Elephas maximus indicus: one gene and its partner. The protein of the gene in region 2 binds, or shares a complex with, the protein of the main gene of each other region. Links are inferred from orthologs where the notes say so. Each region holds a gene or a part of one and is shown on either strand. Other genes may lie near its edges. The genes, in order: DDN and WWC1.

Region 1 (11,786 bases), on a different chromosome or scaffold from region 2:
CTGACTTCAGAGGGGAAGGAGACAGAATCATTATCAGCACCAACAGCCCAGAGCTGATCCCTGTGGGGTGGAGGTCAGTCACACAGACATACCTCCACCCTCCAACCTTTTTACCAGTTCTGACACCAGCCATCCCTCCCACCTCTACTTCTCTCCTGGGTTCGATAAATCATTGTAGTGGCCATAAAGAACTCACAGACCATACTCATAGGTATGGGATTCATTAGGGAAGTAACAGGGTACAACTCAGGATCAGAAACACTCATGATACAGTTCTTTGATCAGGACAGCTTCTTCTCAGCCATGCCTGCAGGCAGGCCTCTCTTTGACCTCTTGGCCTTGCCTTTGCCCTGTTGGGGCAAGTGTTATGAGGCTCCTAGCTCCGTGGGTCGGCAGCCCCACTGCAGCTGGCTCACGCTAGTCTCTTGGTTCCTGCAGTCTCATGCCACTGTCACTCTTGCTATTGCTACACCACCATCTCTGTCTTCTGTGTTACAGCTCCTCCTTCTCTCTCTCCATGTCTCCCTTTAAGCCTAGTGGGATGGCAAAACTGACCAATCCCCTTGTTAGGGTTCCATATATCTTATTTGCATGGTCCTAAACCCACAAGGATGTCATACATCTTATTTGCATTATTAGCAAGCTGTCCAATCCTTGGTGGGCCACAAGCACCTCATTTGCATAGTCCCACCCAATCATTTGGTGAGAGTTATAAGACCATGGCAAAAAAGGCCACATAAATGTGATCCATCACACCGCAAAAGATAAATATCACCCAGGACCTCTAATTTGTCTAGAGTAGGCAGAATGAATTCTGATCCACAGGGTGATCCCAGCATGGACTTTCAGGGTGTTTGGGGCCAGGCTGATTGAGCACTGGGCTCAAACTTAGCGTTGATCAGAAACAGCCCAGCTTGGACCATGACTTTAACAGCTGCAGATCTTGGAAGAATTTTAAGAAGCTTACTTAGTTTTTCATCTTTATTAAGAATAGAGAACAAGTGAAAATGTGCTAAATGTATGAAATACACATCATGGTTTAAGACGAGAAAAAGCTTTTAGATAGGACAGGCTAAGGAGAAATATTATAGACTTTGTTTTAGTCAGCCATCGTTTGCCTAAGAAATCAATAGATACCATCCTACTTGGAGGCAGAAGTTGGATGAAATGGCTTCTAAGGGATTTATCCTGATTTTGTGAGAACAAGAAGAACAAAACAGATACAATAACCCAGCTAAACAAAAGGAGACCTTAGTAAAAAACCATAGTCTATTACAACACTGTTTTGTTTTCTGCCTCTTTTGATTGGGAGTTGTTTCATGGAAGGAAGCTACTAACTATCCCACCCTATGCAGAAACCCCAGAATCCAACAATAGCGTGTATACTTCCTTCATGAAGTCTCATCGCTGCTATGACCTGATTCCCACAAGCTCCAAATTGGTTGTATTTGATACTTCCCTGCAGGTGGGTGAACTGTTTTCCCTTACCCCTTCTTTGGAGCCTCTGGTACAATACCTCTCATCCTATCTCATCCCGTGGGTAATAGTCTTTTCCGTCTATGGGGTTAGTCTCCTATCTTCCCCAACATACCCAACCCCTATTCTTTTAAAGTCCTGCCTCCTGTGAATTTCCCTTTGTGATTATTATGCTTTTGGCTACAGGTGAAGAAAGCTTTCTTTGCCTTGGTGACTAATGGTGTACGAGCTGCCCCTTTGTGGGACAGTAAGAAGCAAAGTTTTGTGGGTAAGAAAAAGTTTCTGGAATACAATATTGGCATCTTGTGCTGGGCAGGGAGAGAAGCTTTGGGCAGTGCTGAGGGCTCTTATTTTGGCCTCTAGGCATGCTGACCATCACTGATTTCATCAATATCCTGCACCGATACTATAAATCAGCCTTGGTAAGGAATCCTAACCCAGTGGCCAAAACCACTTTCCCTGCCAAAAGCCCCTCATTCTCATTTCCTTTCCTCCAAGCAAGCCACAAGAAGTTAATGAAGCAGGGAGATCAGGCCTCAAATTCTGCTGCATCTGCTTCTAGGTGCAGATCTATGAGCTAGAAGAGCACAAGATAGAAACTTGGAGAGGTATGTAGAGGAGTGGGGGTTGTGGAAGGATGACGGGTTTGTGGAAGGATGATGGGCTGGAGAGTTCCTGGGACATGGTTTACCATGGTGGTGCGCGCGCGCGCGCGCGCACGCGCGCGTGTGTGTGTGTGAAAATTGTATTTTTCCCCTCAGAGGTATACCTACAGGACTCCTTTAAACCACTTGTCTGCATTTCTCCTAATGCCAGGTGAGTTCCAGCTACCCATCTGTCCAGAAGGGGAAGAGCCATGCCATCAGCATACCTAAAGCCCTAAAACAAAAAAACAAAAAAAAAACACTGCCGTCCTAAAAAAAAAAAAAACTTTTAGACAGCCAAAAATCCAGGGAAAGGGGCTAAAGAGAGAAAAGGCACTCCTCCCAAATATATATACACACACACACACACTCACAATCTTTAGGTCTGGTCTAAACACTGTCTCTCCAAACCCCAAACACCAGTTTTCCCTGTTTATCAACGTACGCTAAGGAGACAGTTAACCACCCTCGCCCCAGTACTGTGGAACTGATCATCATCTCCCACCTTCGCACAGCTTGTTTGATGCTGTCTCTTCATTAATTCGAAACAAGATCCACAGGCTGCCAGTTATTGACCCAGAATCAGGCAACACCTTGTACATCCTCACCCACAAGCGTATCCTCAAGTTCCTCAAATTGTTCGTAAGTGCTCCTCAGCCCCGTTCTTACTTCATAAATACTGGGGTGGAAAGGTGCCTGAGGGTGGTTTGGGGACCTGGAGAATCAAGCTGATGGCTCTTTCCTCAGATCGCTGAGTTTCCCAAGCCAGAGTTCATGTGTAAGTCTCTGGAAGAACTGCAGATTGGCACTTATGCCAACATTGCCATGGTCCGTACCACCACCCCCGTCTATGTGGCTCTGGGCATCTTTGTACAGCACCGAGTTTCTGCTCTGCCAGTGGTGGATGAGAAAGGTGCGAGATTGGGCAGAAGGAGGGAGGGCTCCTGGGAAGTCAGAGTGCCTCAGGGGAAATCTGCTCCCCTCTCACCTCAGCCAGGAGAGTGATTCTATGGGCAGGGGGAGCCTTAGATACCAGATCCTCCTTACTGAGCTGCCTCTGTCCCCGTAGGGCGTGTGGTGGACATCTACTCCAAGTTTGATGTTATCGTGAGTGATTATGGAGGGGCTGGGAGGTAGGGAAAAGGGGAGGGGGATGAGATGGGGTACTGAATGTACTGAGGGAGAAGGGAGAAACTTCCAAGCTTTCAAACCCCATTGGAAAAGGAATTGATAAACTGGGTGTGACTTGGGGGCATGACTGACAACTGCCCTAAGTCCCTCTGGTGAGGTTGGGTGGGCTGAGGTTTGGGGATTGGCTCCCTTCCCCATAAGCTCCTTCCTCTTTCTCCCTAGAATTTGGCTGCAGAAAAGACCTATAACAACCTAGATGTCTCTGTAACCAAAGCCTTGCAACATCGATCACACTATTTTGAGGGTGTCCTCAAGTGCTACCTACATGAGACTCTGGAGACCATCATCAATAGGCTGGTGGAAGCAGAGGTAGGGAGGGCAGAGACCCTAAAAGAGGGAGATGGGGGGGCAAATGGCAAGAGACCTGAGGCCTCAGAGTAGGGTTTGGGAAGCTGGGTAGGGTGTAAAAGGTTCACCCTAACTGAGGTTGGCACTGAACACCCCCTTCTTCCTTGTTGCTCTGTGCCAGGTTCACCGACTTGTGGTGGTGGATGAGAATGATGTGGTCAAGGGAATTGTATCTCTGTCTGACATCCTGCAGGCCCTGGTGCTCACAGGTGGAGAGAAGAAGCCCTGAGCTGGGGGAAGGTGTCAGGCAGCAGTAGGGGATATGCCCCTCTCACTGCCTGCCAGCAGCTCTGGAAATCACAGATGAAACCTTGAGAGAACTGTGACTCTGTTCCCTGCACAGGAGCCCCCTACCCTACTACCTGGGGGCCAAGGGAGTTGGAGGAGGAAGGAGAATAGATTTTTAGCTGCCCTTCCCCTCACACATGTGCGCAAGAAGATTTTAGCCCAGCCCATCTCAGCCCCTGTCCTCTTAGATGTAGCTCTCTTTGTGGGTCAGCAATGGGTTCTGTGCCCACCCTCAGGCAGATTCTGATCTCTGAGAGATCCCTAGACCTCACCCTGCCTTTGCCTCTATTCCTGCCCCTTACTTCACCCTAAGATAATAGCACAGCAACAGTCTTCATAAAGATGTTTTTATTCATCCTATTTCATGCTGTATGGGGGAGGCTGAGTCCAGTTAGTGACATTTATTCCCATAATGGAAGTGGAGAGGATCATGGGGAGGAGGGCTGTTGGGTTCCTGTGCTGTTTTTATATGAAGGCAGATGGGGGTTAAGTGGAGGATGGAGTGGTTAGCCTAAGTTATTGCTTTTCGTGGCAAACCTAATTAAAATGACAGGAACCTCTTCGTGGCATTGCGGTGTTTGATTTTTGCAGCTGATACATTCTACTGCTCCAACCCTCCTCCTTTATATGGCTTCTTCAACTCATCGTTAATAACAATAATATACATTTATGTTTATGTGTGTATGTATAACTTACTGTGTGCCGGGCACCATTGTCAGTGCTTTGCCTTACATATATTTATTTAGTCCTCAGATCAACAGTAGATACTATCGCTATTCCAGTTTTATAGATTTAAAAAAAAACTGAGGCACAGGAAAGTTAAGTAACTTGGCCAAAGTCACACAGCTAGGATTTGATCTCAAATAGTCTGGCTCCAGAGTTCATGCTCTTCACCACTACACTGGACTTTCTGCCTGTCTAATTCTCCTTTAATAGCTGTTCCTTGCTCAATTCCCTACTGCCCTCCTTATTGTCTAACTTTCCCCTTTGCCTGGACCATAGCTGGGACCCAAGGAGAAGCCCATGACAATGTTAGGTTGCCACAGAGTAGAAATGCTGATGCAGAGAGACCTGCCACTGCCATCAACTTTTCCCAGTCAGGGAAGCTAGGCTGTGTTTGGATTCTGCTGATCCGTTACTATCTTTGAAACTACAAATCCCTTGCCTGTCTTCCAAGGTGAGAATGAGCTGGAGAACGGAGGGAAGGGAGGAGCAGGACTATGGTCGGACCCATTCTCTGTGCTGAAATTGTGGACCAATACAGTAGGCAGCACTAAGCACCATAAGGAATGCTAGTTGGGTATGAGCCAAATTCTGGGTATCATTTAACCTCTGCTGTGCAGGTATGATACAATTTCCCATCCAAGAACAGAAGCAATTGCAGAGTAACTCCTTGCCCTACCTGCACTATGCCTAACTAAGCCTTCTAATGAACCCCAGCCCTACCATGCTGGTTTCCCCAAACCAGGCTTCCTGATGGGACATGGGAAAGCATCAAGGCACTTGTCAGAGCTCAGCTGTCAGTGCTGCATGGGGGGTATGGAGAAGTCCTCTGCCTCTGCGTTCACCTCTTCACACGCCTCACAGCACATTCCCAAACTTGGGGGAGGGAGGCTTTCAAGTAATTAGAATTGGGGTATGTTTATGTGTGTGTGGGTGGGTGCATGGTGGAAAGGACAGATGTCTCTATGTCACATTCCATCATGAAGGAGGGTTTGTCTAGGGAGGAGGCAAGGACTTTAAAAAGCCTTAGGACTCTTGGTGGGACCTGGGGTGGAAGGAAGCACCTTCAAAGCAAGAGTCATCTGCAGCTGGTAAGTACATGGATTCAGGGGGGATAAAGTGGATGGGACAGGGGTGTTTGGGTTCTCTCTAAAGGCCCATGTTAAGGAGCAGGAGGCCTAAGCTCCCACTAAGTCAGTCTTTGCCCCACAACAACCCTTCTGGTCCCATCCCCTTAAAAAAAGGGTCTGTATCCAAAGGACTGCAGATACTTTAGTGGAGAACAAAATGGGGTCTCTCGCTCTTCCCATTCCCCCCCAAAAACCAACCAGCCAGTCTCAGAGTCTGAGGATGGAGCAGAGGGAAAGACAATAAAATTTGGGAGCTTCATAGCCTTCTATTCTTACCTAGTCCTCTCAGGATAGAGAAATTGTCCCTTCTTCCTCAGGAGCCATTGCCATACACATTCTTCCCCCCACCTCCCTCCCGCCCCTCCACTGGAGCTGCTGCCATGGTTTCCAGGCATGGTTGCTAAGTCTCTGCATGTAAGGGTTGGCGTGGGCTGTGCTGCCACTAACATTGCCATGGTGAATCAGGGGACACCTGATATAGGCTTGGGGGGAGGGATCATGTGGATGGATGTAAGCAACAACCCCCCCAGGACAGAATGAGCCTAAGAGGTGAGCATCTTGAGTATCACTTCAGGTGGGGGCTGAGTGAGCTAGGCATTGTGGTGGTGGTGAGGGGAAGCTCTATACTGGGAAACTGGTTGCTTTTATCATTGCAGTTGCTAAGGGATTGGTTGTGCCAAGGGAGCACACCATTCCTCCTCCATCCCTTCTGAAAGGGTCCTCCATAAGGCTGGGCAGAGCTTTGTGGGCATAGAAGAGGGTGACCCCAACATTCTGGCTTCTGGGCTGGGGGAGAGAGCCTGCTGCTGGGAGAAGGCTTCACGGGTGCCCAAGGACAAATACCTAGAATGGGAGTGGTGGCGCAGTTTCAGTGGCCAAGCCAGACTCGTGTGCCCCACTGTGCCAGCAGCTCTGTGTTTCAGCACCAGGGTGAGACGTTAAGGATGTGGGGGTCGCCCTCTTTGAGCCTGGGAGAAGGATCTCCCCCCCCCCCCCAGTCATACAAAAGCTGCCTGAAAGCCACCGCCTCTTCCCTCCCTCCTGGAAGCTGGTTACTCATCTCTGCACCCGAAGGCCACTGCCGCTAAAAATAGGCCCCCAGCCGTGGGCCAGCCCCTCCTGCACCCCAACCCCATGGAAACCAGCAAAGTGGCAGGCAAAGACCTTGAGTTCCATTCCCACCACCACTCTCGGTCCGAGAAACTGATGTCCAGGCAGGAAGTAAAGGGCTGCTGAACCCTGGGGGTCAGGCAACCTGACAAGCAGGAGAATGAAGAGTTAAAACGGCGGGAAGGTTGGAGAAATGGGTGTGGGGGAGGGGGGGCAGTCAGCTTGGCAAAGAAGTCCCCCCGCACACTCGTGCGGGTCCCATCAGGCTTGGGGGACAAGAGCAGTGGGAAGGGGCGTCCAATCCCGGGCCCCAGGGGGCGGCCGTGCACATGGGGGAGGTAGCAGCGCGGAGCCGTCCGCGCCGTGTCACATGCGCGCGCACACACACAGACAGGCACACACGTGTGCCCGGGTATATATAGTCCCCAGTCCCTGGGCCCGCCGCTCTGCAGTGGGCGCCGGCTCCCTGGGCTGGGAGGGGGCTCTCGGGGCGGGTGGGAGGGTGGGGGGCCGGGGTGGGGTGGGGCAGGATGCTGGATGGCCCGTTATTCTCCGAGGGGCGGGATAGCCCCCGGGAGCTCCAGGATGAGGAGTCTGGTAGCCGTCTCTGGGTGCAGAAGTCCAAGCTGCTGGTGATTGAAGTGAAGACTATTTCTTGTCATTATAGTCGCCGCGCCCCTTCTGGACAACCCATGGATTCCCAGACCAGCCACTGGGCCCGCTGGACCCAGAGCCGCACGTGAGTGAAGGAGGGACCAGGGAAGAGAGTGGAGTGGTGGGGGAGGGGTGGGGTCTGCACCCCCCTGCCCGAAGGCACCAGCGAGCGCTGCTGGGCTCGCCTTGCCTTTCCCACGCCTCCTTCCCCCACCCCACCCCGAGGGCTGGGACCTGACTCCTTCAGTGTTGTTTTGGGGGAACAGGAGTGGGCGTGAGAAAGGGCAGGAGGTGAGATGGGGCAGAGGCTGGTAAAGAGTGCATGGAGAGATGGTGAGGAGTCCCGCTTCGACTTCAGCCCTAACATATACGCACGTGCACACGCGCACACACTCACACACACCCCTCCACACTGCGGCCCCAAGTGGCCTCCAGTGCTCCCGGTTCCCCCGACCTCGGCTCCCCTCCGCTACAAACTGCTCACCTGGGTTCCTGCTCATTGTCCCAGGTGTGGGCCGCGTCCGGGATCCCCTGAGCCGCCGCCCCGCCGGCTCTGGGCCTCCAGGGTGCTGCAGGAGGCGACCAACTGGCGGGGGGGGCACCCGGCCGAGGCCCGAGCCCGGGAGCAAGAGAAAAGGAAAGCGGCGTCGCAGGAGCGGGAGGCCAAGGAGACCGAAAGAAAAAGGCGCAAGGCTGGTGGGGCCCGAAGGAGCCCCCCGGGTAGGCCCCGCCCAGAGCCCCGGAACGCCCCTCGGGTGGCCCACCCTGCAGGGCTCCCAGCTTCCTCCCGGCCAGAGCGCTTTGTGCCGTTGGGACGGGCGCCCCGTCCATCCGCACAGCCTCAGAGCATACTAGGCGCGGCGTGGCCAGGGCCCTGGGGAGGTCGGCGGCCCGGGCCTCCCAGCTACGAGGCTCACCTGCTGCTGCGAGGCGCTGCCGGGACCGCCCCGCGACGCCGCTGGGATCGGCCGCCACCCTACGTGCCTCCACCTTCTTACGATGGCCCCCACAGGACCCTGGGGACTAAGCGAGGCCCCGAGCTCACCCAGGCGCCCGCCTCCCCAGACCCAGCTCCAACCCCGGCCAGGACCGAGACAGGGCGCGCAAAGAAGAGGCTGGATCCTCGTATTTACCGGGACGTCCTCGGGGCTTGGGGTCTCAGACAGGGGCGGGGTCTCTTGGGAGGCTCCCCAGGCTGTGGAGTGGCTAGAGCTAGATCGGAGTTCGGCAAGGGGGCCGCGGAGAGAAGCCTGGGGCTCGCTGTTGCTGGCCTGAGCAACGGTAGTGACAGCCATTCAGCAGCCAAAGCTCCAGGGAGCCCGGGCGCCAAGACAGTTCCTACAGGGCCTGCAACTGCTACTCCTAGTCCCCCGCGCCCCGCCCCCAGGTCCAGGCCCCACCTCAAGGGCTCCAGGGAAGGGAAAGAAAATGTAGAACAGAGCTGGCTCCTCAAACGCTGGATTTCCTCCCCCAAAAAGCAGCCGCCCCGACATAGCCAAACCCTCCCCAGACCCTGGGCTCCAGGAGGCACGGGATGGAAAGAGTACCTGGGTCACAGAGAGGAGGCAGAAACCGAGACCCTGAAGGGATGGAAGGTGACCCGCCGCGCCCACACCCTGCCCCGCAGTTCCCGCCGCCCCACTTGTGGAGAAGGCGTCTTTGTCATTGACGCCACTTGCGTGGTGATTCGGTCCCAGTATGTTCCGACTCCCCAAACCCAGCACATGCGGCTTTTGCCCTCCGGGGTGCCGCGCGTGGGGGGAGATGCCCCTAGTCGACTGCAGTGCGGCAAGGAGGAGGGCGAGGGTCCCGCGGCCTTTCCTTCCCCTTGCCAAAAGCTACTGTCGAGCAGCGGCCTTTCACACCAGCCCAGCGCGGGGCGCGGGAGCGAAGCTGAGGGCGGGGAGCCGGAGGATTCCTCGCTGCAGGAGCGGGCCTCCCGTATCTTGGGGCTTCCTGTCAGCGAAGTGAACCTGCGGGACGTCCCCAGGCAGCCAGGTAGCCCAGAGCACCTGGCCTTAGGCCCAGCGGCTTCGGGAAGCGTGGGCAGCGCCGAGGGCTCGAAGGAAGTGACAGCGGTCCCGCGGCGCGTGGGTCGCAGTTGGGCGCGGACCCCGGGGCCCTACGCTGGGGCCCTGCGGGAAGCCGTGTCCCGCATCCGCCGCCACACCGCCCCGGACTCGGACTCGGACGAAGCTGCGGAACTCAGCGTGCATAGCGGCTCCTCTGACGGAAGCGACACAGAAGCCTCGGGCACCTTCTGGCGAAGTGAGCAGACCCAGCCCGGGGTTGGGGGCCCCACGGCGGAGCCCCGGGAGGGCGGGAAGAGAGTAGAGCTAAACGGCAGTATCCGGGAGATTCTGGGTGTCATAAGCCGAACGGAGGAGGCCCTCTTCCGTGTGGGGGACAGTAAGAGGACCCCACAAGGAAATAGGGAGCAACAATGAGAAACCCCCATCTTGGAGTTGTGCCCCTCAACCCATCCTTGGGCCCCCCATTCTTTTCTTTCCCACACTCTTGCTTCTTTTGTCCCTGTACCCCTACCCCTTCCCATTCCCATACCTGAAGCAGAAGCTGCCCAAATGAAAAGAACAGGGGCCATCTGCACATTCATTTATTTATTTTTCAGGAGTGGTGAGGATGAGCGGTAGACTTTAATCTTGCCACATCTAGGGCACATGAGTGAGAAGGTCATGGATCTTCAGCAAGGGCTGATGCACTGTTGTGGAGCTGAGCAGAGAAGCCTAGCCAGGATCAGTTATGAGAGTGGGGATGGTGGCAGTCACAGGAAGGCAGGGCCCTGGGCAGGAGGGAGAAAGTGATGGGAAGACCTGAGAGCACTGGGTGACCCTGTGACAGAGGGGCTGTTGGTAGAAGAGGAAAGGCTCTAGAAGCAGCCAGCAAAGCAGAAAGAGTGCTCACTTTGTGTCCCGTGCCTTTGGTTTCAATCCCAACTCTGCCACTGACTTGCTAGGTGACCTTAGGCCAGTCACTCTCCCTCTCCAGGCCTCCAGACCACCTGGTATGTAAAATGAGGGAGTTTTAAGGTTCATGGTTTTATCTCTGACATTTTGGGATCTTTGGGGAGGCTTCTATCTCATATTCCCCTCCACAAACCAAGGGAGAGAGTTGAGAAGAGTCTAAGCATCCCTTGGTGGCCTCCATTTCACCTGATATCACCCTCCGTTGAGGAGACTGTCCAGTGTTTGTAAGAGAGCTGAGGAGTAGGCAAAGGGCTCCTATCCTAGTCTTCCGGCATTAGGTGAGGGCTTCCCACTCCAGTTCTGTGACTGTCCCTGGCCTGTGGTGGTCTGAACTGGGGAAGGAAGGCAGCCAGTGATAAAGCTTGGAACCTCTACTAGGCCTTCTCTTTTTCCTCCTCCCCAACGTTCCTTATTTCTGCTGTGGAACGTTGCCACGACTTCCCAGGTGGTATCGCCCACCTGAAAGAACCCTGAGAATTTCCCTAATTTCTGCCTCTGACAGAAATCCTCGAGGCAAGGAAGAGGGAGGTTGGTCCCAAGGAGCCTGAAGGTGTGGGGTGTGATACTCGCCATAGCCACTGCGGGGCGCGCGCAGGTCGCGGATTTCCCCGGTTGCTAGTTTCCGAGTCCCCCACTACCCGGCACTGCCAGTTAATCCATTGATAGCTTACCTAGTTACCGCGCGCCTGTCCCGCGCCTTGCAGCCTGCAGCCGTGCGGGGCCAGGAGCAGGCCTTTGAGAGCGCGCCGAGCCCCTCCTGTTCTCATCCACGCCAAGCGGCTTGGGACCCAGACACTGAAGTCCCTTTTCTCGCCGATCCTGGACGCCTCCTCCGTCTCAGCCATTTACTAGCCATGTGAACTTGGCCAAATCACTTCACCTCCTTGAGCCTCAGTTTCCTCATCTGTCAAATGAGGATTTATAAACACCTACCTCGCAGGGTTGTTGTGAGGATTTAATGAGATAATGTATGTAAAGCGCCTAGCACAGTGCCTGGCACACAGTAGGCGCTCAATAAATCTAAGCTTCCCTTTGCTCCAGACTTGGCACCTTCTTCCTTACACCGACCCTTTCCCTGTAGCGCCCCACCCCCAGTGCTCCTCGCTCCTTCCTGCGCCGTGGGGGAGGAAGACTCCTTTCTTTGGTGGAAACTCCCGATCCACCTCTGTCTTCCCCAGCTCGGACTCTCCCTTTCTTGCTCCCCCCACCCTCGCCGGCTCTTCCCACTGCCCTGGCGC
Region 2 (11,176 bases):
AATCAATATTCCCTATCCAGCTAAACGATCAGTTGCTGTGGCAGTCAACTCACGGTGACCCTGTCTGTTCAGAATAGAAATGTGCTCCACAGGGTTTTCAATGGCTGTGATCTTTTGGAAGTAATCACCGGATGTTTTTTCCGAGGTGCCTCTGGGTAGATTTGAATCTCTGACCTTTCTGTTAGTAGTCAAGTGCTTAACTGTTTGTGCCCCCCAGGGTCTTACCTAGCTAAATAGGAGGGTATATAGGCGGTGATGAGCAGTTTCCAAGTTACACCACAGCAGGAGTTATGAACCTGGGATCCTTAAACCTCCTGAAATTAGTGACAAAAACTGTGTTTGCATTTTGCTCTTGTAAGAGTCCTGACTTTTGTCAGGTTCTCATAAAGGTCTGTGACCAACATGAGGTTCCTGACTCAACTTCATACAATAAAAATTGTTTCTGAAATAAGATGAGCAAAAGCTCCTCCTCAAGCCATGAGAGAAGTTGCTGAGTCCTCTAAGCCCCAGTGCTTGGCTCAAGGACCCAGAAACTGAGCCCAGAGTTCCCAGGTGGTTCTTGGAAGGTCTGAACACAAACCGCCGAATGAGCAGGAATCAGGCTTCAAGAACCTTCTCTGGCAGAGCCAGTTCCAGTGATCCATTCTTCCTCAGAGAACAATCAGCCTATTTGTTTTTGCACACCACTAGGCTAAACACACACGGAACGCTGGCCCTTTGCTGGGTGCTCCCAGCAGCACCTGGAGTTATTCTGAAAAAGAGCACTACTCTGAGGGGCTGTGCCCCTGGTTCCCAAAGGACTTGTCACCTTCCCAGACTGGCCACGCCTCGGTAAGAGCCTGAGGTGCTGCCGGAGCCTTTGGCCCAGTGGGCATGCCCCAAGCTGCCCACTGGACTCTCTCTGGTTGTTGGGACGACCGTCCTCTGGAATTTTGGCCTCCCAGTCGTCCCCTTGGTGAGAAGGGGAGAGAGTTGGCAAGGCAGGCTGCCTGGCAGCTCTTCGAACCCCCTGGTGAAAAGGAAGCTGAAAACTGGATTCCCTACCCCCAGCAGCCTCCACTCCGGACAGCACACAGAACAGCTCAGCCCCAGGGGCAGGAATGTGCCAAGACATTCTTTAGGGTTGGTAACCGGAGACGCTATTTTGTCTTCAGTGGCTAAGAAATCACTTTCCTGACTGAATAACCATTTGACTGAGTTCTTTTAAATTCAGGGGAATGGGTGGGTATCTCCTTCATTCAGGTAAGGAAAAAGCTGAGACACACACACACACACACACACACGGTTGATGAGCAGAACACACACACACACACACACACACACGGCTGATGAGCAGAATGTTTTCAAAGTTTTTTGTTTCTTAGCATTAACTAGTCCCAGAGATGTAATTATCTAGGCAAAATTTAACACTCTGTCCTGCAGGGTCACTGTGAGTCTGAATCAACTTGATGGCAACAGGTTTTGTTTCCCCTCCCCCCCAAAAAATTTGGCTGTTAAATTGGCTGTTGTTAAATCTCTCCCTTCTCCTTCTCATGGCCCCATCCCCATCCTACCCACTCCAACCCCCCATCTTGCTATGGAGGCAGGAGGGTTAAGGAGAGGCAGAGGGGTCTTATATCCGAGAACTGGCAGGGTCCTTGGAGAGCATCTAATCAATTATCTCCTCAGTGGAGAACCTGTGCCTCAGAGAGGTCAAGCAATTTGCCCGAGGCCACGCAGCCAGCTGTCCACACTGCCTAACACACTGGGCAAGATGGAAATTCCAAAGACCCACAGTGGATGCCCTCTGATCAGCTCTTTCCCCAAACTTTCAAAGTTGGTCTACCACGACAGTGATCCCCAGGGTTGATTTCAAAACTCCCCAGCACCCCAAACTCAGGGCCCTCCCACGAGCCCTGTGTGGTTGGGATGACTAGGATGTGCGAAGATGCAGAAATAAAAAAAAAAAAAAAGAAACAAACAACAGCAACAAAAAAACACAGACACTAAATTGCAAAATGAGGAAGGTGCCACTTAGGTGCCAATGTATCTTTAACTCCTCTCCAATGCTTGCCAATCTGCTGGGAGAAAAAAAAAAAAAGGCTGAGCAGGCAACAGTATCTAGATAAAATATAATGGCACTAGTTTGTTTTATCTTCACTGTACTTTTTAAGGTGACCTTCTATTATGGCAATAGACACTATGTTTCTCATTTGTGAAAGTGGTACAAAAATTTTATGAGTTGATTTAATGCCAGATATTAAGTAAACAATAGCAGAAGTGGCATGTGAACACAGCAAAAAACCATGAAGGTAGTCCCAACTGCTCTAGCCAAGTCAGTTTTCCACAGAAGCTACACACCTGCCCTCTTCCGAGGGACAAGAACTATTGTTGTTTGGGAAGCTTCCAGACCTTCTGCTATCCTCTCAGAGTCGCATGACTTGGGGCAAGTTAGCAGTGCTGGGTGTGGTCCTCAGACCTCCAACTTCTAACTCAGTGGCCCAAGTTCTGAGGAGGATATGTAAACTTGAACTTGTCTCTATCCTAGGGCGGGGGGTAGGGGGGGAAGCAAACCCATTGCCATAGAGTTGATTTCAACTCCTAGGCCCTGAAGGACAGAGCAGAACTGCCCTACAGGGTTTCCAAGTAGCTCCTGGTGGATTTGAACTGCTAACCTTTTGGTTAGCAGCCACAGCTCTTAACCACTCCACCACCAGGGTTTCCTATGAGAGGACAAGGAAAATGGGGCCAAGGAAAGACTGCTCAGCTCACCAAAGCGGTAACAGAGCCCCTGGTGGCAACTGATCCTGAGGGGCTCAGGGAAGAGAAGTGTGTGAGGACCGCATACTTGGAGGAACTTTTGAGCTGGTAAAGAACTTGGTGTTTGCAGAGTGGTGGAAAGATCAAAATATTTGAGCAAATCACACCACTGGGCCTTCAAATTGTCCCATCCCTTCCAGCTCTTAAGATTCCCACTATTGCTCCTTCCCTTCTAAGCAAACTATTAATCTGACAAATAGGGAAATTGAGAATCAGAGGCTAAAGCAACTCTTCCCAGCATTAAACATTTTCTTCCAGGTTATACAGTAATGAGACATGCAGCAAGCTGTGGAGCAAAGAGAAGGCATCCGATGAATGAATGAATGAATGAATGAATGAATGAATGAACGAATGGAAGTGCTTGCAGAAACTACTGGGAATCTCAATCCACATTTTCCTCTTTTTAACTCACTACTTTCTACACACTCCACCCTGGACCTCTGGGGTCCACAAGAAGAATCCAAATAACTAACACTGGCTGCTTTACAGGCACCTGACCCCCAAGGTCACACTGACCAGGTAAAAGTTATACATTCCTGAGACACTCTGAACTCTCTACAGACCATATCAGCAAAGGACAACAAAGTGGACTCTGTGGGTGTCCTCTAGGACATACATGGGAAGGGGGAAAGAGTATGCAATAAAATGCCCAGCAGTCAAAACCAGAAGAAAGTCTGGAGAGCTAAGCGACAGAGCCATCCAGACTCCATCTGCCTCAGCAAAAAAAAAAAAAAGCTGTGCTACAGCCAGCCTGGTGCCCACCAAGGTCAGGACGAGCTGGTGCAGGGCTGAGGAGCCAAGGTTCCCAGAGGGAAGAAACGGAGGAGAAAGAGGTGATGGGCTGGCCTTTCCCGGAAGCCTCTCACCTCCATCAACGTCCTAACAGCTTCCAAGTTGCAGTGAGGGAGAACTAGTCTCCCTGATCTGCCCTCCCTAGCTCCTTCCTTCCCTTTCCATCCTCGGCCTCCAGGCCCCCTGGCTGCTCCCTACTCTTCTCAGGAGCACCTGCCAAAATGCACACTCCAAGCAGCCTTCCCCTCCTCCAGCAGTCTCCCACTGAATCCTGGGTCACTACCACCCCCTCTAAACCAGATGCTTCCCATCCCCCCAGATGCTGGGGAAAGCCTCCCCGGGAAGCCCCAGCCTCAATCTGCTAAGTAGCTCTCCCGCCCCCGCCCAACCTCTTCTACTAAAGGGGGCACGGGGCGGGGCTACAGTTTAAGGTCAAAACTCCGAGCAGGTGCCGGTTGGGGCCTAAGACTTCCATCTGGTGGTGGCGGTGGGGGCAGCCTGGGCCAGCTCACTGGCCGTCCCCTCCTCCCAGCAGCCCACCAGGGCAGGAGCGGCGCTCCAGAACGGGCTCAGGGGCAATCTGAAGAAAGGGGTTTAGGCTTGCAGAACTCCGCTGCCCCCCCGGCTCCAGGGCAGACTCTAAGAAGCGTGTCCCTCTACCCAGTCCCGGCCGGTGGCCCCTGGGGCAGGTGGGGGCGTGTGCCGGGGTGTAGGGAGGGACATCCCGGAGTCCTACCTGTCCCGCGGGTCGATCCAGCTGGTGGTGCGGCTCGTGTGGTCTATGTAGTAGACCTTGCCGTCGAAGTCGCGCGCCTCCTCCCAGCCCTCCGGCAGGGGCAGCTCCGGCCGGGGCATCTTCCCGAGCGCGACCCGCGCTCCCCCATGCAACTCCTGGCCGCCTTGGAGACCACCGGCTCAGCGGCTCCGGCCGGCCATCTCTGGCTCGGCCGGCCGCCGAGGCACCATGATCGGAGGGAGGGTGGCCGCAGATGGGGGGCCCTAGTGGGGACCGGCCGGGGTGGCGCCGCTGTCCATGCGTCCCTGCGGCCCCGGCCCGGCGCCACCCGCTTCTCCCGCTGCCGGCCTCTCACGCTGCCATGTGCGCCGGCAGCAGCTCGGTGCGGGCCCGGGTGCGCGCCCAGCCGGCAGGGCAGAGCGAGCCTAGCGGAGCTGCCTGCCCTCCTCCGCAGCGCGGCGCGCTGCGCCCTCCCCGCCGCCGCCTCCCGCCGCCGCAGCTTCTTCCCCCGAGCCGGGCACTGTCCCCTCCTCCGGGCTCCGCCGCTCTGCTCTCTCTGGGTTTGCGACTTCTGCCTCCGCCAGGTGCGGCCCGGGCGGTGCAGGTAGCCGCGCTGCCCCGGAAACGGGAGGCGGAGCGCGGAGCTCCTGGGTTCCCGGGTCCCCTCCCCGCGCCCAGCGCCTTGAGGGCGGGTCCTAGGGCTAGGGACGCGCCCCCTCGTGGGACAGACCGAACCACCGGCTACTCCTTCGCTGCTCTTGACAGGGGAAAGGGAGGACGCCCCTTACTCTGACTCTGGAGCCCCCGGAGGCTAGAGCAAGACTTGCCTTACCTCTGCTTCCCAAGGCCCCTGGCTTTCACCACCCCGAGTGTCCAGGCTCTTGGCACAGGTGGCCCCAAATCTCACAGCTCCCTCCTTTCTTTGCTTTGTGGACTCAGGAGTCAGGCAAGAAGTGGTTAAACGGAAACATTCTTGCAAATCAGCGAACATAAGTTTTCCAGGATCTCGGGTCCCTTCCCCCAACATGGCCATCTGTCACCCTCATATTCAGTCCTTCTCCCCACTCAGTTTCAGTCCCTACCCCACCCCACTCCCGTATTGCAAATGTAGCTCTGTCTCCTTAACCAGAAAACCAAACCCGTTGCTGTGGAGTCAATTCTGACTCACAGCGACCCCACAGGACAGAGTAGAACTGTCCCATAGGGTTTCCAGTCGGCCTGGTGGATTCTAACTGCTGATCTTTTGGTTAGCAGCCCTAGCTCTTGACCACTACACCGCCAGGGTTTCCTCTGTCTCCTTAAAATTAGAAGTGCTTTGGATCTCCTCCCCTGGGAAGGGTTCCAGAGGGTGTCAGGGAAACACTTTGTAAAAGTAATAATAATGATATTGTTGTTAGCTAAATTGAGTGCCTCCTTGTGCCAGCCTGTGGGCTAGCAGCTTCACATGCTGTTGTCGCCTGTCATCCTTTGAGGTAGTTATTATGTTATGGATTTGCAAAAGAAAAAAGAAAGCAAAGTCCAATTTTTTTTTTTTTTGAAAATTAAAGAACTAAAAGAAAATTAGAGACAGAATGTTTTTTGAGAGATTAACAAAAGTAAAAAAGAAGTAGCATGATTGAATTAGGATCGATCAGCTTTGCACTTGGACATCCCCTTGATGGCTATGTTTTCCAAGTATGTGTTTAACCTTTTTATTTTTTTGGCCCAGAGCATACGATGGAATCATGGAAAACTGGACTGGAAGAATGAAGCCTGGTGTGGTGGATTCTCTTATCCCACGTCTTCCAGAGGAGCAGGCAGCCTGTGCCACCTGGGCCAGGTGTGCTGAGCAAAGGAGGGAGTCCCATGTTTTTGATCTCATCCCCTCTAGATAGGGAAGACCCCCCTACGGTGAGCTCCTTACCGCCAAATGCCTTTCTGCTAAGTTAGCTATTTCCCTGGAGCCAGGCCTATGGCCACCTTGCCTCCTTTCCTCCCTTCCTTCTTTCCCTCCTCCCTTTCTCCCTTCCTTCCTCCTTCCTTCCCTCCCTCCTTCCCTCCTTAAGTGTCAGGCACACGAGTCCAGGAACATGGGCCTGAGGCTGGCCCCTAACCACCCCAAATTAGGATTTCCCTGTTCCTTTAGGAGAGGTTCCCACAGCTGTCTATTTTCTCTGCCTGGGATAAGTTTTCAGTATATAAAAACTTTCAATTATTGTTTTGGGTAATAGCCCAAAAGTAAAGCCAACATGATACTTAGTGTCTCACATACATGATGTCATTTAATCCTCATAACAACCCTCTAGAGTGGGGGATACTATTATACCCATGAGAAAACTGAGGCTCTAAGAGGCTGGGTTGTTGCCCAGGGATACAGAACTAATGAGTGGCAGTGCTGAGCCAGGTGTGTCTGACTCCAGTGCCCATGCTCTCAACCACGAAGCTATACTCCTTTTATTATTTTTGTAAATTACGTGTGTGTGTGTGTTTTTAGATAGTATTTTTGGTGAAGGTTTACACAGCAATTTAGGTTCCCCTTCAACAATTTCTACACAAGTTGTTCAGTGATATTGGTTATATTCTTCACAACATGTGAGCATTCTCATTATTTCCATTTTGGTTCCGTTTTCATTAATCGAACTTCCCTGCCTCTTACCTTCTCATCTTTGTTTTAAAGTAATTGCTGACTGCTTGGTGTTATATAGGTGATTTTTTTTTTTTTAAAGGAGCACAGTGCTTTTGGGTGATATTCATTATTTTTTTAGCCAATTTGTTATTTAGCCACAAGCTGACCTCAGGGGTTAATTCCAGTTCAAGATTTTGAAGAGTATCTCAGGGCAACAGGGAGCCCTCCAGTCTCAACCAGTGCAGGAGATCTGTTTTTGTTGTACCTTGTTTTAGGAATTTGAGGTTCTCTTCCACATTTTTTTCCCATTCCATCAGGATCCATCTATTGCGGCCCTGATTTGAAGGGTCGGTAGTGGTAGCCGGGCGCCATCTAGTTCTTCTAGTCTCAGGTTAGCTAAGGCCATAGTTCATGTAGACTATTTGTCTTGTAGACTAGTTTCTTCTTTGAGGCTTAGGTTTCCTTCTTTCTCTTTTGTTCCAGACACGTAGAGACCAATGGTTGTATCTTTAGATGGCTGCTCGCAAGCTTTTAAGACCCCAGACACTACTCACCAAACTGGGATGTAGAAGATATGCCTCTGTTGACATTTGCTTCAACATCTTTGACTAAGAGCAAGAGCTCTGAAATCAGACTGTTCAGGTCCCAAACCTGCCCTATTTTCTAGCTGGTGAGTCTCAGTCTTAGGTCTGAGGAGAAAAAAAAAAATCACATGATAATATCCACCCCTGAGCCCACTGCCATCAAGTATATTCTGACTCATAATGACCCTATAGGACAGAGTAGAACTTCCCCATAGGACTTCCAAGACTGTAATCTTTATAGAAGCTGACTGTCACATTTCTCTCTCAATGACTGGTGGGTTCAAACTGCCAACATTTTGGTTAGCAGCTAAGTGTTTAACCATTGTGCCACCAGGGCTCCTATCCACTCCTTAGGGCTTGCTATAATGGCTAAGTGAGATGATAGCTGTAAAGGGCTTGGTACTTTGAGCTACCATCTCCAGGGCCCCGTTATGGTACGTTTGGATTACCATGCCTGGTAGCACGCACGCCTCTATTAAATGTTGATCAGTGAAGTGTTTCCTGTTCAAAACACAATGCCATGTCCTTTCCCCTCCTGAAAATTGTGCATGGCTCCTTGTGATAGCCCTCCCCATTGCTGCTTTCATCTTGTTTTCCAACCAAGCTTTCTCAGTGGTTGGCATTGGCTAAGAAGGGAAAACACCTCGTAGGCTGCCAAATCCAACTTTCTTTTTAGTCCAGGTATGCAAGCCACTAGCGTTTCAAAATGGCTTGTTCTTTTAGACCTTTAGACCTGGGCTGCGAAGAGACCGGAGTAGATACTGACTCCTTAAGGCCTTGATCTGTTCACCCTTCTCACCTCCCACCCCCACCCCACAACAAAAGAATCCTAGGTTATCTCCCAGAAGCTGCAAGCTGGGTGAGGTAATAAAACAGATGACTGCCTGCCCATGTGATGGCGGATGAATCATCCCCAGGCATTCTGCAAGGAGGCTGCGGGCAAACGTGAAAGGGATTAAAGGGTAAAGCCAGCTCAGCCATGTGATAGGCTGAGTGGACGTTATTCCACAGGTGACTGAACTTCAGGAATCTGAAGACAAGAAACCGAGGTCTCTCTGGGCCTTCCTCCTGGGGCTGTAGCTGGCCACCTGTTGGACAAGATGGGCATGGCCAGTGTTAGAGCCAAGCAGAAGGAGTGACCGCAGGCCTAACCCTTTCTTCATTTGCTTTCACATCTAGGTGACCCATGGGAGACACCTGCGTCTGAGACAGGTTGTCTTGTTTTTAAGAAAGAGTCCCACTTAAATCCTTTCCCCATGGTGACGGGAAAGAAGAAAGGCTGTTTTCCACACACATTTCAGAGAATTCAGGGAAACAGGCGAGTATGTTTCATGGAGAGAGGTGGTAAGGAGGAGAAATTAAGCTTAAAAAAAGGAACAGAGATGTCAGCAGCAGCTCACTCCTGTTAGCATGTGCATTCTTCAAGGAAATGGAGGCTCAGGACACCTCTGCTGAGATTTTTCTTCCTACTCCATGCCTGTGCCTCCCTACCTCATGCTGGCTCTCCCACATAGCTTGGGGAGCGATTGAGCAACAATGTACCCTCGCTTTAGTCCTGCATTATTTGAGGATCATAACTGCACCATTAATTGTTTTTCTTCAATGATGGGAAAATGTCCTAAGCCAGAGGATGTTAAGGTGGAAGAAACCTTGGCAATATGAGAACCCAGGCAGTAGAGATCATTTCTTATTCATCTCTGGGTCCTCAAGGCTTAACACAGTGCTGGCAAATAAAGTAAATCTAGCATGTTGTTGTTAGCTGCTGTTGAGTTGGCCTCCAACTCATGGTGGGCGACTTTATGCACAAATGGGATCAGACCATTGTGATCCACAGAGTTTTCATTGGCTGAGTTTTGGAAGTAGGTCTCCAGGCCTTTCTTCCTAGTCTTAGTCTGGAAGCTCTGCAGAAACCTGTTCAGCATCATTGTAACACGCAAGCGTCCACTGACAGACAGGTGGTGACTGTGGATCAAGCGCATAGGCTAGGAATAGAACCAGGCCTCCCACATGGAAGGTGAGAATTCTAACACTGAACCACCACTGCCCCCTTTAATCAAGCATAGACTAGTCATTTTACAAACAGGGAGCTGGAGTTTATATAAACAATGACTCACTGCCCCAGTTCTTCCCGGTCCCATTTTACAGACGAGGAAAGGAAGACCCAGAGAGGCAAAATGACTTTTCCATAGTCACACAGTAAAAAATAGAGCCAAGGTTCAGCCTCAGCTCCTTCCATTGGGTTTTTAATTTTCTAGTGAACAGCCAGAATTGCTGAATGCCTAGGAAGGAGGAACTTCAGGGCAACAGTCTGGTTGGAAGGGGGTGGAGGAGTAGGTAGGAGACTAGTCTTGAACTCTTGCTTTTGTTTGGGTTACATTTCTATTTGGAATGGTTGGAGAAGGCTCATGGAGGTTGGGGAGCCAGTCTAAAGCCTGCGATAGCCAAGCTTCAGTGAGAGAGCAGCACTGGGATGGGGATTTGAATTCTGAGCTGAAGAATCCAGTGGACCAACCTGTCCCTCGGCAGCTCTCCTGGTGCTGTCAATAAGACCTGCTGGGGTTTAGATCCAAGGAGCTGAGCTATGTCCATGCAAGGAGGGGCACTTTTCTCCCTCTGTTGCCTGACTCCTCCTTCTCCACCTTTTTTCCTTCTGGCACATTCATCAACTAAGCTGGATTTCTCCTGGACAAGAGGTCACCCTGGGGCTGGCAGGAGAGGTTGAGCGGCCACTTTCTTTCTGACTCTCACATCAGAGTCCTCTGGGTACTGGGGGCTGGGAGCTGTTTTGTCTTTGAAGTTTCACCAACTAGGAAATGAATTATGCACTGAAGGAGGAGGTGGAGATGAGATCTCAGTTCCAAGGGTGCGGGTACGGAGAGGAGAAAGAAAGTGGGAGTGGGAGGAGGTAGTTCCTGCAAAGCCGTGCTTTTCTACCCTCCTACCCCACCAGCAGAAGCTGAGGCCTGGTGGGAAACAGGGGTGGGGGTGCAAGTGCGGTAACCTGCAGGCTGGCTGAATTGAAACCTCTCTGGGGTATTTATAGAGCTTGCATCGCCATGGTACCGAGGCGCTTAAATTAAACTCCAGCACAAATGCTTAGAAATGCATTGGAGGAAATGCACCTTACCTGCCCACTGTGCACTCTTTGACCTCCCCCCTTCAGAATTTCACCCCCTTCTAGATGAGCAATCTAAGTGAACGCTACAGGCTACGCAGCAAGAAGGGTGTAGAGTTGGGGCTTAGGCCCAAAGAACCTGCCTCAGCAGGGTGCTGTATGGAGTGGAGGAAACATGTGCAGAAAAAAAAAATCTGTATCTAAAACTTGGCTCTGCATCTTGGTTGATGTGTGACTTTGAGTATGAGATTGCATCTCTCTGACCCTCAGTTTCTGTGTAAAATGAGAGCAACAATACCCACTTCGCTGTCAACCTGTGACAACTGAATGAGATCATATAAATAAAGTACTTAGCTCAGTTACTGAAACATAGGAGGCACCCTTTATAGTTCTTTTGCTTCCCTTCTCAACTGGTTATTCATTGATTCAACAAGACTGTCTTGTCTGCCTACTGTGTGCTGGACAATGTGTTGAGTGCTTGGGATACAAAGGTGGTTTCTGAAGCTTGTGGTTTAATAGGGGGAAAAAGGTTGCCATTCAGTCGG

What was found.
Region 1: the proteins of WWC1 (region 2) and DDN are in contact, whole or in part, in a crystal structure (PDB 6J69), measured with the Mus musculus proteins. The link is inferred for Elephas maximus indicus from reciprocal best matches to the Homo sapiens genes WWC1 and DDN. Residues at the interface, in NP_740749.1 of Mus musculus: Glu13, Glu14, Ala15, Arg16, Asp17, Tyr23, Ile25, Asp26, His27, Arg30, Thr31, Thr32, Ser33, Trp34; in NP_001013763.1 of Mus musculus: Tyr227, Val228, Ala229, Pro230, Pro231, Ser232, Tyr233, His237, Arg238, Thr239.

Annotation. Positions count from the first base shown.
Region 1 is NC_064822.1:104,419,290-104,431,075, reverse strand, and holds DDN (dendrin), read left to right. Parts: upstream 1-7,440; coding exon 7,441-7,649; intron 7,650-8,072; coding exon 8,073-10,011; 3' UTR 10,012-11,144; downstream 11,145-11,786. Other genes in the region: PRKAG1 (5'-AMP-activated protein kinase subunit gamma-1), read left to right, coding at 1,356-1,465, 1,663-1,744, 1,840-1,898, 2,039-2,084, 2,238-2,292, 2,636-2,762, 2,868-3,033, 3,190-3,227 and 2 more. UniProt on the Homo sapiens protein: Promotes apoptosis of kidney glomerular podocytes. Podocytes are highly specialized cells essential to the ultrafiltration of blood, resulting in the extraction of urine and the retention of protein.
Region 2 is NC_064820.1:186,548,525-186,559,700, reverse strand, and holds the start of WWC1 (protein KIBRA), read right to left. Parts: upstream 4,963-11,176; 5' UTR 4,447-4,962; coding exon 4,328-4,446; intron 1-4,327. UniProt on the Homo sapiens protein: Regulator of the Hippo signaling pathway, also known as the Salvador-Warts-Hippo (SWH) pathway.